Linked DNA regions of Drosophila melanogaster. The protein of the gene in region 1 interacts with the protein of each later gene in a biochemical or structural test. Each region holds a gene or a part of one and is shown on either strand. Other genes may lie near its edges.

What was found.
Region 2: the proteins of wbl (region 1) and pip interact in far-western blotting, tested with the Drosophila melanogaster proteins (one study listed by BioGRID).

The regions. Positions count from the first base shown.
Region 1 is NT_033778.4:19,243,509-19,253,255, forward strand, and holds wbl (windbeutel), read left to right. Parts: upstream 1-5,886; 5' UTR 5,887-6,316; coding exon 6,317-6,592; intron 6,593-6,796; coding exon 6,797-7,294; 3' UTR 7,295-7,409; downstream 7,410-9,747. Other genes in the region: CG33454 (uncharacterized protein), read right to left, coding at 7,519-7,665, 7,727-8,041, 8,099-8,158; CG33453 (uncharacterized protein), read right to left, coding at 9,037-9,183, 9,248-9,562, 9,612-9,677. UniProt on the Drosophila melanogaster protein: Probable chaperone protein involved in dorsoventral axis patterning in early embryos. Probably acts by folding and targeting pipe (pip) into the Golgi.
Region 2 is NT_037436.4:19,331,966-19,341,712, reverse strand, and holds the start of pip (pipe), read left to right. Parts: upstream 1-4,103; 5' UTR 4,104-4,282; coding exon 4,283-4,371; intron 4,372-9,747. UniProt on the Drosophila melanogaster protein: Sulfotransferase involved in dorsoventral axis patterning in early embryos.

The DNA.
Region 1 (9,747 bases):
TGACCCACATGACATAACACTAAGAAACATAAAAAGATAAATTCCCAATTATCCGTTACCGCAACCGTCTACGAGAAAATGCATCTACATGTTTATTATTTTTATTACAACTGTTGTTTATAATTACTTTTTATTACGTATATTATATATTGAATGTGCAAGGCAACGTTGAAATGAAAACTCTATATATTGTAAACCACGATTGCATTCAAATACAAGAATAAAACCTAAATGTACACACACAAAAAAACACCGATTAAGTGCTTTTCTGGAAGGCAAACTGGCGGCTCCCTGGGCATTCGCACTTGCTGAAATTGCCATTTGTGCTTTTCAATAAGCCACGGACCGCTGAATATTTGATGGACCGTGCTACCTCGCTCGATGGCGATATAAATCAGCAATCCACTGGGTCTCCATCCCCCGCCCCAAAACGCCCCCACTTGCCATGGCTTTTTGCACACAACGTCATCGCAATTAAGTGAAATTACCGGCCAAATAGAACACAAATGAACCCATTGCTGACCGTCCAAGCACATGACCGGCGATAAGGACCCTGCATTAACATGAAATCCAATTCGCAATTGCATATCCCGACGGGATGGGGTTGGAGGGGTCACCACCCACCACGTGGAGGTGGAACCACCGACTGCACGACAACTCGCCAACCCAAAAAAAAGGGGGTAAAGCGATTGTAATGCAATATTTATGGCCCCGAGTTGCTCGCAGTCAAGTGGAGGCGGTCGACAAGGCTTCCCCGCTAATAATATTACGTTCTGTGCCAGGAATTTCATTTCGCTATTTGCACCCTGTGTTTCTAAAGGACAGGGGTATGTTAAAACAATATCGAATTTCTTTAATTATTGAAGTAAGTTTACTGCTAGCGATTTGAAGTTTTGAATTAATTAACTTGAAAGCAAGTTTTGCGATTCTTATTAAAATAATTCAAAAGGATCAAAGCAATCACTACATTAAAAATTACCAATATTATAATCGTTTTTCTCACATTTGCATTGGAAATGATCTATATATTATAAATATATATAAATAACTAACTTGCTTTATTTTGATCAAGCAAATATAGTGAAAACCGATTAGTTGGTATTCCAAAGTCGAGTAAAGATCGACTAGTTTTTTGCTGCCATTTTTTGTATGCAATTTTTAATTCGCAGCCACAACAACATGCAAAAAAATGTCAGCTCGCTGTTGAAATAGAAAAGAAATCGTGTCGAAGGCAGAGTTTTGGAAAAGGACGTTTGGGGGACTTCAGGTGCAGCGTAAAAAGCCGTAATTAAAGTAGAGCGTACAAGGTGACTGACTAATGCATTGATTCATAGTTTAGATATAAAACGCGCTCCGCCGATAAAATGCCAACCGAAAGGCGTTCACATGCTGAAAATCATGCGGTCAATCCGTCCGTCAGTCAGTTCACCTGGGGTTGCCAGGAATTTGCACCTGCATGTCTATGTCCCTGTTACAAACATATATCCACCCCAAAGGACACGATAACCGCATTGGGCTTAGTCGGCTCATGCATTTTTTACATCGCGCCGTTTGAAAATCCTCTTGCGAAAATTTCGTTCAACGTTCGCGGCTTTTTCTACACACGAAAAAAAAACGATATTCCTTTGGAATTTGTTACATGTAGCGAATTACTTCTTGGAAATGTCTTAGTAGAGTTTTGTTTGAAGTGTAGTTTTGACGAGCCCACTGCATATTGCATGTTGTTGTGGTCACTCGGAAAACTTGTGGCAAATTATTGCATCAACTTTGGCCCGCTGCTTTTAGTTTTTGTTGTTCTTCGCCGCAGGTACAAAGTAATGGAATATCTGAGTACGGCCAGCGCATTAACCCTCCGATGCATCGATCCGTACCGTAATAATCCCCAGCTGACATCCGCATCGAAATCAGTGCAAAAAATCAACTGCATGCCCTGCAATTTCAGGTATTTGCGACGCGACGTCGCCAATTAGATTTGATGACCATTTGCGTTCCGAATGCTCAAATGTTATAAAACAAAAGTCCAGTGGGGCGTTATCCTGCAAAGCGAAAAAGAATGTTAGGAAATGTCATGCGAATTGTGCGACGGTGCAGCCCCCAAAAGGCGGTGGCAATCCAATTCTGCCACATGAAACTGCAATTTGCATGTCTGTCTGCTCGTGTCCTCGGCTCCCGACCACCCATAGCCCAACCACTCGGTTAAGTAATTGCCTCCCAGCGCGGAAAATGGTCAAGCAACAAGTTGAGGTTGATTATTGGGAATATTCGCATGGGCGGTCGCTTTGTGTAAGTGCAGTTTACCCCTTTTACCTTTGGCTGTTATGCATTTGTTTGTAAACAAATGCCCTAACCCCGGATAGAGTGGGTGCAATGTGGCATCGCATTGGAAGTCCTTTCGCTCGGAGCGGGAACCACGCATGCGCCATTCAAATTTCCCGCCACAACTGTTATACATGAGTTTCCCCTGAGGAAAATCCTGAGGGAAATGGTCAGCGATTGGATGCACTAGAGCAATACCAGAATGATCCTTAGGTTTAAAAGAAAACGGAAGCCAGCTGGTCAAGCTAACAAAATGTTGAAAAGCGATACATTTATCTCAAATGAAATATTAGTCCACTGATGACCATAGCATAATATCATATTAAAATGGAAATGAAAAGTGGATAGTTATTAGCCAAGAAAAAAAGTACAGTTTCTCCTTGGCGACCCAATTAAATCCCCCAACTCGAAGCACCTAAATGACCAATACAACCAACTCACACCACTTAAGACACATTCATTTTTGGCTAATTAATAGGCCGTGTGCTAATGGAATTTTCCCCACGATAAGGCAAACCAACCAATAGTCAATCGCTCAAGAAATTACCATTAGGCCCATTGTCACTGGAATATGTTGAATGAAGGCAAACGAATTTATTTGATTTTGACCGCGGTTTCTTGGATAAATATTGAAAAAGCGTAATTAGCGCAGAACACATAATAATGCACTCGAGTGATTAATTAGCGAGGCCAACTCATACCAAAATCATTGACCATCTAAGCGCTTTTCAGCCACTAACGATTTGCTCTCAAATTCTCAGCACGCAGTTGGCATAAAAGTCGAAAAAAGAAATTTGCAATCAAATTGGAAGACCGCAGCGAATAAAAGCCACCGGCTAACTGACCATTTCGGTTTATTGGGTGCACAAATATTGAAAAGAAATTTGCGCTAAACGCCTCAAATTGCCAGGCCTGATAGCCACACGTATCGAAATGGCAATAAATGCAAATGAAAAGCTATAAACACGATAACCAGGCCTACGTCTGTCCACCCTTAACCCATAACCCTTAACCCTCTCTCTCTCTCTCTCTCATTCGAAAGCAAGGGTTATGGTTATGAACACCCGATGTGTGGGTTAACCAAAAGGCATTTTCAATAAATACCAATTATGATGAGCACAGCCTATTGACCATTTAACCGGGCATTCGACTTTGGCAGTTTCGATTTGGGCATGCGAATTATTGTCGAAGTTATTATTCCCATGTTTTCGTTTTGTGGGGTGGAACATATGGCCTTTTTTTCAGGTGGGTCATTCCATGGCCCATTTATGGAATTATGCCATGGCATAAAAATTTGATGAGCTTCAACTTCACAAGTGCCTGGATCCCAATGAAAAGTTTACAATAAACGAGACCGGGGAATTTCCATGATTCGAAATCGCGTGGGTTCTTACGCAAGTTGGGAACTCGCAGCCCCATCCCCTCCGCAGACCAAACTCCATCTATTTTCTATCCAAATTGTCAGTTGGCCAGTTGGCTCCAACATTGCATGTCTTGGCATACGTGGGCCATGAAAAATTCATGGCCCGCCTTCAATGTACTGCCACATAATTAGACTGTGGGGCTGCCAAAAAAATAAAGGTTGTCCTGAAAGCAGGATTGTTAATAGATACCCTGCGGCAAATGAGTGTCGGCAATAACTCGCACACTTAAATCTGAAAGGGAAAAAGTTTATAATATTTTAAAAACTTTTTTTAAAGAGTTCTGATAATTGTTAAATATTCAATCCTATTAAAAACATATATTTAATAAGTAAGATACATATACAATATGATGTGTTAAAAAAATGTATCATAAGATACAATACAATAATTGCTGTAATTACTATCACATGATCACAAGGCCAAATATACCCCTGACAGATCCCACTACACGGTATCCAAATGGAGCACCTGCCCTGCTGTAGGCGATTAGCTTTGTCTATTCGCCGTCGCTCCAAAACCCAATAGATGTGGTCTATAAAAAACAATGCCGCAATCGTTTGATTTCCGCACCAAGATTGCAGCCATTCCAGGTCCTGAAATTTGCGCGCTTATCACTATAATGTCGATTGGTCAGGGCAACCCCCTCAGCACCAAAAGCCCCCCGGGTGGGCCAAAGGGGGGTCGTTTCGCGTAAAGGTCATTGTGTTATTAGTGCCGCTGCACTTAAACTAACGCAAAAGTACCACCATTTATATTATTTATGCCGCATATGGGATATCCTTAGTTGGAGGACTCTTGAAGGTTCTTCGCCGGGTAATTCCCATAATTTGGCTAAATATAATCTAGATTTTTATTTTTAAAACCGAAGAAGGATTTACTTGGCGTCCAGTGGCAAAGTTTTCAATATAAAATGCCCGTCACGGCAACTAATTGAATGCTATGTTTTCCATGTTGTTTTGAAGGCCTTTCGACTGGGGTGTACTTAGCAAATTGCTTGTCCTTTGTTGCATAATAAATGGAATGTAAACACAAGTGCGCCATGAACCGAAAACACACCGAACTTGGACTCCATTTTTTTTTGCGCGGCCAGCAAAGAGGTCAGCATTACAAATGGAGCACCTCCCAACCATCCATCCAATCCGGTAATTTTGGGCCTTTGTGCGATTGACACACGCATGTCAGGCCCCATTACTGGATCTCCATCAGGCATTACCTCCTCCTTACCCTACATCGCCAGTTAATTCCATTGGAAATTGCGCATTGCCGTTTGGATTTTCCTTGCACCTGACGCACCAATCGAACGCCCAACCACCCATTTACCACCCCCCCCCCCCCACACACACACACACAAAAGACACACGCCCATCCATCAGAAAAGATAATTTACCGGTCGGCCATATCGATCGTGTGAAGCTCGCAACGCTTTTCCGTACCTCCTTCCCGAATTGCGTGCCGTGATGTTCAATTTTCCGTAGAGTGGACAAACGAAACCGCAAATGGAAAAACTAAACCAACTATTTTAGCCGCCAAAGGGGGCGGGGGGCGGGGCATTTGGCCATCGGCGGTCTTTTGGGTTTGAGGTGACCAACATGTGTGCCGCATACATGAATTATTAATTGACAATTGCCGAAAATGTCCATTAACCGGGACAAAAGGGAAGGAGCACGGAATTGGGGGTGGGATCGGGTGCCGGGAAAATTTCAATTCCAGGCTAATGAAAATTATGGCAAACTAACCCCGTTTTTCCGTCCACTGGCAGGTGTTTCCATTTTCCTTAGCAAACTTCTAAAGAGTCGATCGGCTACTATGTCAATTCATTGTATGTAGAGATACTTTAATGCATAGTTCATTTGTAAAGTTAAGTTACTAAAACGTATAAATAAGAAATCTTGTGATTGAAAGGAGTTGAATTTCATATATATACCTTTAAAGGGTATCCACAATTCGAAAGACCCGAAAACACTCATGTACAGTTGCAAATTACCACTTCCTGTGGACTTCGCTTGCACTGTCAGTTTTGTGAACATGGCTAATTGCTCTGGTTTAATGTGGCACGCTCTATTGGCCAACTGATCGTTTTTGGCCGAAATATATTTTCTATCAGCTTGGCATCAATGTTCATTCCCCAGCTATTGGGATGACAATTATTTCTACGTTTAAAAGCGACAGTCAAAAACGAGGCACACGCATTAAGTACCAGGCATTATATAATAAATCTCCCTACAAGTGTTACAATAGACCCACAGCCAAAACAGCTGAACTAACAACAAGAGTTGGTCAACGAAATAGCCGGTTTTGAGTGAGAGAGCCGCTTCTATTCACTGACGTGTCATTCAACTCGATCGAGAAATTGTGGAGACGAGAACTTCAGAGCATTTCAGACTACCAGAGAGTCCAGAACTGAGTGAGTTGGCCAAAGCAGCCAAACAATTTCAGCTGAGCGAAGCGTAAACTGGCCCAAAACTCGAACTCGAATACAACTTTACCGCTCTTCTCGCGCTCGTTTTTAGCCAGTTTGCGCTGACAAACGGCAAGAGTAGGGTCAAGTTCAGAAGTCTCTGGTTTTTGCCACGAAGATGATGCATATTTTGGTGACTCTGCTCCTGGTCGCTATCCACTCGATACCCACCACCTGGGCCGTCACCTGCACGGGCTGCGTGGATCTGGATGAGCTGAGTTTCGAGAAGACGGTGGAACGATTTCCCTACTCCGTAGTGAAATTTGATATCGCATATCCGTATGGGGAAAAGCATGAGGCCTTTACCGCCTTCTCCAAATCTGCCCACAAGGCAACTAAAGATCTGCTAATAGCCACCGTGGGTGTCAAGGACTATGGAGAACTGGAGAACAAGGTGAGTTTTATTTTATGGATTACCTAGGATTTAGATATGTGGTAATGATTGGAAAAAATGTGGTTTCTGCTCTGTTCATTTGGAATCCTGGATTGCAGCCTAAAGCTTGGATGCCCTTCTAAAGACTCTGTGCTATTTAAATTATTTAAAAGCACTTTAAATTTGATTTATTTATTATTTCAACTTTTTAATCCCAATTTGCAGGCCCTGGGCGACCGTTACAAAGTCGACGACAAGAACTTCCCGAGTATCTTCCTGTTCAAGGGCAACGCTGATGAGTACGTCCAGCTTCCTAGCCACGTCGACGTAACGCTGGACAATCTGAAGGCTTTTGTCAGTGCCAACACACCTCTGTACATCGGTCGTGATGGCTGCATCAAAGAGTTCAACGAAGTGCTCAAGAACTATGCCAATATCCCCGATGCAGAGCAACTGAAGCTTATCGAAAAGCTGCAGGCCAAGCAGGAGCAGCTGACCGATCCCGAGCAGCAGCAGAACGCCAGGGCCTATCTGATCTACATGCGGAAGATCCACGAGGTGGGCTACGATTTCCTGGAGGAGGAGACCAAGCGACTCCTGCGCCTCAAGGCCGGCAAGGTCACCGAGGCCAAGAAGGAGGAGCTGCTGAGGAAACTGAACATCCTGGAAGTCTTCAGGGTTCACAAGGTCACCAAGACAGCGCCGGAAAAGGAGGAACTGTGAACTTGTTAGATCTTTAAACAAAATTATGAATACTTTATGATATTTATAAATGTCGGATCTCGACAGAAACATGTGAATGTACAATTTATACGAATTATAAGTCTATCATCCAAATAAAGACAGTTTTTTATGTTGAAATGCCTTGTAGTAATTAAATCAAACTATTTTATTTCCACTCCTCATTGCCAGTTAACAAGTCAGTTAAACACAAATAAGCCTTCAATTTATAAGTCCTCTGGTACATGCATATTTACATTTACATAGAACTTCGTTTTACCATTAATTAGAAAGTCTAGGCGTGATAAATAATCTCCAGAGGGAAATGGAAGGGGTAGTGAAATGCGATGAAAATCGTTAAGTACCACCGTACCCTGCAAATCGACCAAAAAAGGATATATAATTGTATATTATTTTGATTAAAAACCTTACCACATACGGGCAAGAATGGTTGATGTTGGATGCATCCTTTATCATATTATAAACTATTTTAATGACGGGATTATTTGGTTTTCGCAAAAATTGGCAGGCATCGACGGTGATATCGAAAAGAAAAGGCTTGTAACCATTGGCCCTCTTCAGCATCTGAAATCTGACAGATATGCTATTGATTGGATGCAAAAAGGTTGCATTTATGTGCAAACTAGTCTTGGTCCTGGAATAGGCCTTCAATCGACAGTAATGAAAAACGGTCAACGATTTATCATATGATTCACAAACAACATTTGTCATTTTAACCATAGCCGAATCCTAAAGAAGTAAATATACTTTCTACATTTTATTAAAAACAATATCGGGCAATCTTACGCTGTAAACCAAAAAAACGACAGCCACAAAAACTCCCAGAATTATCACATTGGCCAGCATGTCCGACAAACACAAAAATCAATTTAAGACTGTAATATAAACTATGAACTAGGTGATGGTAGTTCAACACATAATTAAGATATACTTTTCATAAATATGTTTACCTCTTTAATTACACAAAATTGATATATTAGTCAGCACAAAACGATTCAGCGTGTTTAGGTATACCATTTAAAATAGAAACTTAATATAGTAATGCTTAAAAAACATTGAAATCAGATACAAAAAGTTACCTATTGCAAACTTTATGTTTTAACCCAGAAATGGCTGTCTTTGAAATAATCGATTTGTTTCATTGATTAATTTTGCTGTCTTCTGATTTGATCTGAGTGATATATTGTGGGTTGTCTTGTACTGAAGAGGTTATTAAAATTCAATTTCAGTGATGGTAGCACGATATCTGATGTATTTTTTAATTATACAAAATTGATTTGATATGCAACAATCATTACGGTGCTAGTTTTGCGTTCATTCGAATATATCTGCTACATATCTGCTCTGTTTTAGAATACCCTTAAATGATAAATAAACTGTCTAAAACCGAAGGTATATATTAGTGTTGAAGCACAAAAAATAGCTTCAAATGTAAGCAGATACTAATGAAGTTGTATATTAAGAAAAACGTTTCCAAAAGCTTGGGCAAATATGACTTAATGATGCAAGTGCGGTTAACTAATAATATAGGTAATAAATTGAAATTGTGTTTTCGTTGAGGGTCATATTTGCAAAAGCTGGTAGCTATGTATGAGCGAACTAGCGAAATCTATTAAATAATTATATTTTCAAGATATCTTAATCAAATAATTATGTTTTTCTTAAACTGTTTATTAGCTTCAATAAGTTCAATTAAGAACTATAATGTTCATAGAAACGGGTGGTCAAAAATCCTCCACAAAGTTAAAATAAATATTCACGTGAAACTGCTTCTTAGCATAGAAGATGAAATCTAGTAACACTCCATAGTCTCCTGAAGGTAATGGTACTGGAAATACAGCGGTGTGATAATCGCTAACCACTTGCAAGCCCTAAAAAAATGATTAAAGTTATTAAATTTGCTGATGGCCAATATGGCGTAACCTAACTTACCACATAAGGACATGTATGATTTAGTGTAGAATAATCCTTTATAAAGCTATAAAACATTTTTATGACGGGATTATGTCGTTTTCGCAGAAATTGGCAGGCGTCGATTGTGACATCGAAGAGAAATGGCTTATAGCCACTTAATCTTTTCACCATCTTTAATCTGAGGGATACATTATTCGTTGGATGCAGAAATGTTGCATTTATGTTCAAGCTGGTCTTGTTACGCGAGTAAGCCTTTAGCCGGCAATAATGAAAAACAGCCCAGGATTTGTTTATTGATTCACAAACTACATTTGTCAGCTTAATATTGGGTGCTTCCTGAAAATATATTATTTAGTTTCACTTTCAAAATTTAAATTTTTCTCACACTTACACTGCTGATGAGGAACAAAGCTGCTAAAAAAACTCCAGGAAGGATAACGTTAGAATTCATTGATGATATATGTATGTATGCATTTGAGCAACACTATAAGACTGGGAAAACATAATACCTGTTCTTCGCT
Region 2 (9,747 bases), on another chromosome or scaffold:
AATAATAATAAACTGTATGCAAAACTACCATTTAAGACACGGCTCATAACCCATATAAACAATCAAACTTTTGGCAGTTGCAGTAGGATTAAGCAAACAACACCAAGAAGAAGCGGAAAAGGACATAAGTACTTTATTTTATAGACACTGAACTAGGGCAAAAATTATGAAACTGAATACTGAAAGCAAAGCAAATACTGGCTGCAGTGGGAATTTTAAAAATTTAAGAACCTCTGCCACGCCGGCAGAGTCCACATCCATAAAAACCCATTAAAATTTCAACTGCAATGAAACTTTGCCGAAAAGCGTGTGTATAAAAAATATATGATTTAGCCAGCATAAAAAGTAAATGAAAATATATACATAAATTAAATCAAATATTTTCGGTTGGCATTTTTTGATAGCAAATAACCTAAATATTTATAGCTAAAAAAGAAAGAAAGAAAAATTACCAAAACGCACTTTGTACAATTTAATAAAAAACGAGCAGTTTATATTATTTCCAGACACACAGCATAGCATACACATACATATATGATATTTTACACACATTCGAATAAGAGATAAAATAATACCGAAACATATACGAGAGCGAAAAGAAATTAAATTAATTAAAAAGGGCGCATAGGCCGAAAATGCATTTTTACTGCCGCCAATTGAGGACAAAACTAAAAATCGAAAACACGGCCGGCAGGGCATTTGAATAGTTAGCTTTAAGCCCGGCTAAAAATGCTGTAACTACTTTGTTGGCCACCATTGTCACTCACACAAACTCACATCTCAATCATCAGTTCGGTTCAGTTCCTTCTCTCAACCAAACCAAACTATGGAAATTTCTGTGCCAACTGTGTTTAAAGTAGAATTCAAAGATAAAATACGAGATAAAAGAGGGGGGGCCGGCGGATGGAGAAATTGAATTATGACCGCACACGAAACATTGCATATAATTTATTTGAAATGTTCAAAAATAAAGTAGACGAAACGAGAAGAAAACGCTGCGCGATGGTAAATAACAATATAATACAGACAGCTGTGTAAATAGTCAAACTGCGTACAGTCTACGCATATTTAATTAAAAACCGAAAAAAAAACTGATAAAACTGAAAAAAGTGACGCAATGAGATGGAATTTGAGAAAGGAGATCATGTCTTAAGTTCCATTTCGGAATTCACCCGATTTTCATTTCCTTTCACCGTTCGATAGAGTAAGTTTCACTTGTATGATAAATAAAACTAAACCAAATATTTATATAGAGATATTATACGTATATGAAAAGGAAACCTTAAGTTAATGACGCACTGAATCAAATAGATGAAACGAGTATTTAAAACCAAGACAATTAAAACCAAAAGGAACTTTAAGCAAAATAAAACCGATGAAAAAATTAAACTGAACACAGAGCACCTTTCTCTATTAGCCAAAATTGCAAAAGTGGGTGGTTGGGCGTTTGATTTTCGGGTGGAATAGATGGGGTGTTTAGTGGGTGGAATGCCAACTGTTCCGTTTGACGCTCGGGGGAAAACCGTTGGCCAAACTAAGGCGAACTCAAATCGTGTCCAAATAGCTGGCAGTCAAGTAGGCCACAGATTTTGATTGCCCGCATCCGGGCAGCAATCGGTGGACATCCTCGAAAATTCGGAACATCGAACGAGATGCTGTTAAAGCCAAGCCAAGCCGGTAGCTCCAGGCGTGTGTTCTCACCGGTCGGAACTCGGATTGGCCGTGGGATCGGGTTGTGGCTATGGGCTTTCCATGTCCCCCGCCTCGCCCACGCTGAGCCCGCATAAAACATAAGCCACCGGCCTGGTGCTCGTGTGGTGTGTGCTCTATATCCCACAGATTTCGCCTCCTCCCTCGGATTGCCCAGTTCTCTGACTCCGTGTTTATGGCCGGCAGCTCTGTTTCTGGACCTGGCAACTCTGGCCCGTGGACTTGGCCAAAATGGCTTTGATGGGCGTGGGCGACAAAAGGACCGGAAATCGCTAACGAGGCGTGGTAAAGCAGTTTTTGCAGTAAGTTTGAATATCAAGGTAGATACTCAAAAAATTGAATAACAAAGCATAATCAAATTTAATGGAGGGATCTACCTTGAATGTATTTTGTTATTATTGTATTACAGCTTATCAAACTAATCACTAGTATGTTTGTTGCTTTTATTTATTATTAACACATTTAAATATCTGGCTATTAAAGTTAATAATTTTGCAGTTCTTTTTATGCCGTGGTCATTAATATACATATAATACATATATCTACTAAAAGTATTCACTCTAGATTAATGCAAATTGATGAAATTATTTATTTATCGTACGCACTTACATATAACATATACATATAATATATTAATTTAGAATTTGTGTAAATAATAAATTTATTTACCGAATACGATTTTAAATTTCTTTTATATATTTAAGCGGATGTATTAAACATGCCAACCAATTAACATGGAAAACCTCGCTGCATAAAATACACTGCCGAGTATTGGCCAAATATAATATATACGCACACCTGCCACAAACTCACACAATCAGCTATTTGTGTTTGCACCTAGGGCCAATTGCAGTTGTTTACAATCGAGTTGGCCAGCTCAGCGCAATCGGCACAGCCACAAAGGGACAGTTGGCAGCAAAAAACCATGGCATCGGACCGAAGATATAGCCAACATATTGTGAGCGACCACAATTGGACAGCTGATAAACTTAACCCGAAAACCGACAGCCTAACAACTCGTCGGCTTTTAAGTTTCGAAATCGGAGAAAGAGTCTGATCATTCAGATAGCTCAATTATCTCAGTCGATTTGGACAGTCATCAATGCAATAGGCAGCAACTTTACAAGTTTTTAGCTACTCACTTTCTTGGTACCAAATGCTGAAATACCTTTAATTATTACCAGATAAACACAAGACATGTGCCGCCAACGCATTTCGTTTTAATTTTACTTTTATGTTTTGGCTGTTTTTATGTTGAGGCTGGCGTTTTTCCATTTTTTTGCAATTGTTATCGAGAAATTTACACGAATTTTCAACTTGTTGCTGAAATAAAAAAAGTTTAATAAGACTAAACAATCAGTTTTTTGTCGGTCCTAAAAATGTGGACCTATGCAGATAGTTATGGGTAAACGCTTAAATTCGACAGCCGTCTGACGCCAGTTAGTGGACAAGTCAGTTACAGTGAGAGTTAAAAGTTAAGGTACCTGAAAAAGATAATTTAAAGTAATATATGATAAGACACACTTAAATAAAAGAGTAAAGGTATAAATATATTGAAATCTAGTATTAATTCTCGTAAATTAAAAATTCGTACCTCAATTTAATTTTTAAATGTTCTAATTTAATCGGAAAAAAGATTTCTTTGAGGCACTGTGCCATAAGAGTCAACTGTTGAATAAGGGTCAATGAGCTTAGCTTTGTGGACAGCAAGTGGGGAGATCGCGGAATCCAACTCTTGTAGAAACTATAGATTTGAGTTTGGCAAAAATTAAGCTTAGATCCCGAAGTTTGGCTAACGAACGAGGCGAGAAGACAGACATCGAGAAGAATCGCTTATATATGTACGAATGGCCAAAACTAATCGATGGAAATTACAAAAGCGGGAAGGTCAACTTTTCGACTGTCCATTGGGGGGGATGGGTTCAAAGGTAAACCTGTTTTTAATTCTAATTCTCCCTTCCTCTATGAAGAAATAGAAAAAACTAAAGTTCTTATTTTTGCCAACGTGGTTTGGATCACACGCAATATGTTCTATTCAACCGAACAAATTACCATTAAGGTCGGTAAACCAGCTGATCCAATAAAGGATATTGAAACAAGTGCCCGAAATTCGATTCCTTGCGCAGAGAATAAAGACACTTCGCTGTTTGGACGACCTAAATAAATATGTCTAAGTAGATTAATGTCAGATGTGGGGTAATAATAAAAATGTTGCCACAGACAAATGGGCTACAGTCACGTCCCCACGAAATCAGTCAGCCAGCGAACAAAGAGCGATCAAAAGAGCGAATAAACAGAGCCAAAGAGAGTCGAAGAAAATGGTAAAAGCAAACAGTGGTAAGCCGCCGCTGCCAACGTCTTAAAGTTGGCCAAAAAGGCGGCCAAGTGCCCCCAGGAACATTCAGTCAAGCCGCGATCGCCGAGCTCTACGGACGTCTATATCTCTAAGTCTTCGAATCGTGAATCGGAACTCAAGTGAACCCAAGTGCCGACCGGAAAATTCTTTCGGCCAAGAAAGGTCTTCGAGAACTAAGATCTCAAGCGATTGTGTTTTTTGTGTAATTGACATTGGATGTCTCTGAACGCCGAGCGATCGTACAAAATGAAACTGCGCGATGTGGAAAATGCCTTCAAATACCGGCGCATACCGTATCCCAAGCGGTAAGTGTGGTCTTCAGCCGAGAAAAAGGCGGCGGAGAAAAGATTTCTTTCACTCGAGAACGGTGTTCGTTTCAAAGGGGAAATGCAATTGAGTTCCAGTTTCAGTTAAATTGAAAACCGGTCATAATTGCCATTGAATGGCCAGAGAATCGAAATCGAGTTGGTAGATCGAAGATTGCGTTTGCCGCAGCGCTAAAGATTAAAAATACTCTGCTCTCGATTCTCCATAAAAAGCGCTTAACTTTCCGTTTTTCGCATCTGGCTAAAAGTGATAGTGTTTCAGGGTCGTTGTATTTGATAAATAAAATTAAATAAAAACTCCAATTGCTGGCCAGAGCAGTTCGAACATTCTTGACGGACTTTAAGTAGTGCCAGCCAGTAAATTAATTGCAGCTACACTAGAAGAAATAGATATTTTTGATCTTAAATTTAATATGAATCTCATCGACTTAGATGGGTTTATGTAGATCGACGAGCTTTAAGAACTTTATTTTAAAAAATTGATTGAGTACTTTTAATTAAGCTATGAAAAATTGTTACGAATGCTGATATGAGCTTCCAAGTACTGTATCAATTGAAAATATTTTCAAAAATTTATATATACAAAAAGGGGTCTATTATTTATCCTTTTATTTTTTTTGTATTTATTATTTATACTTTGAAAATGTTTTCTTATATTTTGAAGACTTATTAAAAGCAAGTATTAAAGCTTTGTAAACACTGTACTTCAACATTTAATTTTAAATGTTTCATAAACTTTTCTCTGTGCACTTGCGTCTGTCGTTTTTTCAATCTCTGCTCCAGTTAAAAGCTACAATCTTGTTTCTATTTTTTATTGCGTTTTTCATTTTCAATTCTTCTCATAATTCATTTGGTGTAGCACCTCGGGGCGGCAGATGAAGAGGAGGAAAACCACAAAAGCCGAGCTCACTTCAACTATTTCAAGTAGCCAAAAGAGCCGTGTCTTACCACCATCCTACCACTGCATTGTGTGGGCCTGCATTTTTCGGTGTTTGTTCTGGCCTTTTACAGAACCCAACTCGGCTCAGTTCGGGCCAAGTCAGCTCAGATAAAAGTTAAGAGCCCCCCAACTTGACTGCCCGCTCATTAGTCGATGGTCGATGGTCGACGGCCGGCGGTTTCTGCGGCCGCCCATAACAATTTTGGCTATTAAAAGGTGTTTAGGCCAGAGAACTGAGCCACTGCGTCCGCTATTGTGAAAGATTCGCTCTTTTTTCCGTTTGTATGGCCAAATTTGTTGCAACGAGTGCGTCGAGATGTAAACTAATGATATACCGACTACACATGTTATGGGCTAATTGGCTTTTGGGAAACTATTTCTTACCGTTTTTGTTGACTTTTTAAAAGGGTGTGAGAATTTGCTTTTCATTAAGGCAAAACGTGGTGAAGTCATGGCTCACAGCTATTTGCGTATAACTGTGAGATCTTAGCTCAAGCTAATGGCAAATTGGATCAACGACATACATATGTTTTATATTTTATTTAAACATTTTCCCACTTATTGAGTCCCTGCTAGATATCCTTTTTTCCTATAAAGCCCTCGTTAATTTTCGCGAAGCGAGGCCCATTTCCCGTTTATTTGCAGAACAAATTATTACATTAAATGTATGAATTACTGGCATTAATTAAACACATGGCTTAAATGTAGATATGTGTGATACTTTCTGTGGTTACCGCTGGCTGGAGCATAAATTTTACGCTCATTTTGACAATTTCATGCAGCTGCAAACTCTCAGTCAATCAGTTGGCCACTCAGTCAGTCTGCCAATCAATCAGGTAAACATTTATTTTTTATCCATTTCCGATGGCCAGGCGACTTAGTGAAACGAGTAATCTTGCCATTTGCACAACAAAATAGTGCAAATATTTGAATATGGATATGATTTATCACAACAGATACGAATTGTCCTGCAGAGAAACATAAATACATAAATTCCCAGCCATATTGCTGCGTACACTTACGTCGTTATTTGCACAATTCTTTTGTACGCTCTCAAATTGATATTAATTAATGAAATTAATTGGTTTTGCTTAAATAACTCGGCGACAGATGTTTGGCAGCTTCATTATCCGGACACGCGATAAATGAGCATACGTAGAAAATGAGTTCGTTGCACCCAGTTGAGAAAAATCAGTCGGAATCGATTCGAATCGATTTGAAAAGTCAAAAAAGACAATTATACGCTCAATGAGTGGAATGAAGTGCAGTTATGCAATAATTTCTTTCGAATTAGCATAAATTACGTTTCTGATTTGCTTTCCATTTGGATTAGGGTTTACCTAATACAAAAAACAAAACTCACTCTTATTTTCACTGCAAGCCGAAGCGTGACAGAAATTATTTAGAACGCCCCAAAAGAAAGAGGGCGAAGACTCAAGCCGCGCTTGAAAAGACTGTAGCTGGCTCTTCGCTGCCGAGTCTACAAGTCTTCAAGTCTTTCTTCTGTGCGCCTTTCTCAGCAATTCTTCTCTTTCTTGCCAGTTTCTTTCTTTCTCTGGGCGCCACGACATGCAGTCACTTACTCTTTGGTAATTATATTCAGTGATGTGATTTGTTTTTCTTTTCTTCATTTTCTTTCGAGTTTTGCATGCCGTTTTGTTTTATTTTGCCTGTCTTTCTGCAATGGAAATGATGCATATTGGGAATTTTACACGCTGCCGGTGGCCCGCGGGAAAGTTAATTATTGCTGTCTGTCTGCGGCGGGTGGCAAATTAAAAAATAATTATTAACAAAAACATATATATGTGCTAAATTTTATGTTTTAAAACGGCAATTAAAATGTTTTTCTTCACACACTAAGAAACAAACGAATTTATAGCTGTAGGGTTAAATACACGACTTTCTTTTTTATGGTTTACAAATATTTAGGAAAATATTATTAAAAAAGAATGAAACAAGTGAGTTGGGCCTTACGAGCTTTTTTCCGCTTACACAATCTTGTTTACACTCTTAGGATTTTTAACAGTGAATTAAGCGAAACAAAAATATATAAAACCTATATTAAATGGAATACAATTATCATATATAAAAAATTATTTTCAAAATTATTAGCTGTGCCAAAAACAAACTTGGCTCTTTAATATGGTATGTTTACCCATCCAATTACATATATTTTCAAAGTTTACAGAATAACAAGAGCACATTTTGAGTGCTTTTAAGCCCGTATTTTACACAATTTTCGTAAAACTTCACACCTAACCCGCATGATCAGGTGAAACTGTAGGCCCTCTGCCCACATATGACTCCCTTTTTCACTGATAATTTCGCACGCAACTTTTGGCAAGTGAAAGCCCACAAAATATTCACATGTTTTGTATACATTATAGCAATTTATGACCACAGCCGTTTAGCACCTTTCAGAAGAGATGACCGGCAATTTTACTGGGCCAATTTCGGAGAGCAACAAACGCCCACCGGTAGTCACTAACTATGTGGCTGTTATTAGTTGGCCATAAAAACAAAAACTTCGGTTATGGCTGTGTGGACATCAAAAACAACGCCCTCTCCCACGAAAGAGTTTTTCTACATTATGTAAAAACGGTCGAATGCTGGGCGCAGAGTGGCAAACACAAAATGCTAAAAAAAAAATTCGCAATATTTTTAGCACAGTTTATGTATTACGGAGGCTCTATAAGAAAGCCAAAGCCAAAGCTGATTAACACAATCATGTGAAAAATGTGCAACACTTTTCGGCTAAAAATAAAACAAGTGCAGAGATATAGCCAGACGCAGCAGACAAGTGGAAATTATGTGTATAGCTTTCACTTGATTTACAAATATGGGCTGCGGGACAAGGGGGCGTGGCCAGCAATGCGTAACAGCCAAGTGATGATGACAATGATGAATTTTTCTTTTCGTCTTCTGACGGACTTCAAGTTTCAAGTTTGCCAGGTGTAAATTGATGGCCAAAAAGGTGAAGTTGAACGAAAGGTGCATCTAGTTCAAAGTCATTGAGCATGGTCTTTAAAATGAAATAGTCATGGGTGTAATCAAGGTAAAGGCTAGTCAAATGTTTCATAGGGCTAAGTTGAGGGACTTGTTGTTGTATTATTATTTTTTCAAGGGTATACAATAGCTAATAGTCCAGCGCCCAGGTGGCGCATCTTTTCAGTTTTGTACAAATGATCATCAACTAATTACCCTTTCACCGCGCTGATAAAAACAATGAAGAAAACTCATTAATAGCACTACAGCCAACATGGTCCCCTAATTTATTTAGGCACTTCCTTGCCCGAAAAGACTTTCATAAAAATTATCTTTATGCAATGCATAAAATGTTTGAAGAAGCACATAAACCTCCTTTCAATTTGTGTTTTTCCCCAAAACATATAAAGATGTTGTTACTCGTACTTTCATACTTCATAAAATTTGATTGTTTTTGATCAAATATGCATGCAAAATGCTATAAATAAGAAACCAGGCTAAATGTGAATAAAAAGCAAAATGTGTGTGTTTACTTTTTTTGCGACCGTATCCGTACGTTTCTTTCTTTTTCTTTTTTTAAGTTTGCCAAATGCAGACGAGGCAAAATTGAATTTAATTTATCTGCTGCTTCTTCACTCTCACACAGCGAAAGTGAGTTAACGCTTAGCTTGAGATCCGAACTTGGTAAATACCTCGAGTATGTAAATCACTTTTTACAGCCGGCAAACTGCGAAGATTTATGGCCACCAGCTACTTGGGCGAGCAGAATATTTAACGGTGGGACATGTCTGGGATCCCAAGAGATAGATCTCCAGGTGGGCGGTGCTCGTCTTGGCCATCAGGTGAAAGCATTGAACTCCAATTAGCGGGCGCATTTATGATTCTTTTCACTTTTCCGCCAGTCAAGCGCCCAGAGAACTTTCGATGTTAATTGGAATAAAATAACTAGTTTTTAAATAAAGAATTCCCGAAAATAGCTTACTATACTTCACAGGCATATGAATAACAATAATTGGTAATACAACTTAGAATGCAGGTGAGCAAAAAGTTAAGTTGCTTTTTTTAATTTGTGTGTGCCTCTCCCTTGCAAAAAGGCGAAGGCAACGCCTGGCCAGAAAACTAAGTGAGACTACAAGATTCGCGAGTGCATATAAAGAGTGCAGTCTAGAAACCGACCCCCGACAATGGACCAGGCCAAAATTGAAATTGTAACAAAATGCTCACGACAAATATGCGGTTTTTGTCTGCCCCGACTTACAAGTTTTTCCCCATTTTCCGCCTTCCTCGCCCGCTTTTATATGTGCAAACATACCGCCTGCATTTTGGCTGTGCCACTCCAAAGCCAAAAGCTGCATCATGACGTAATGACCACATGAAACAGCCCGGCCAACTCATGTGCCTCCGCTGGCTTTTAGGCTAAACCGAACCGA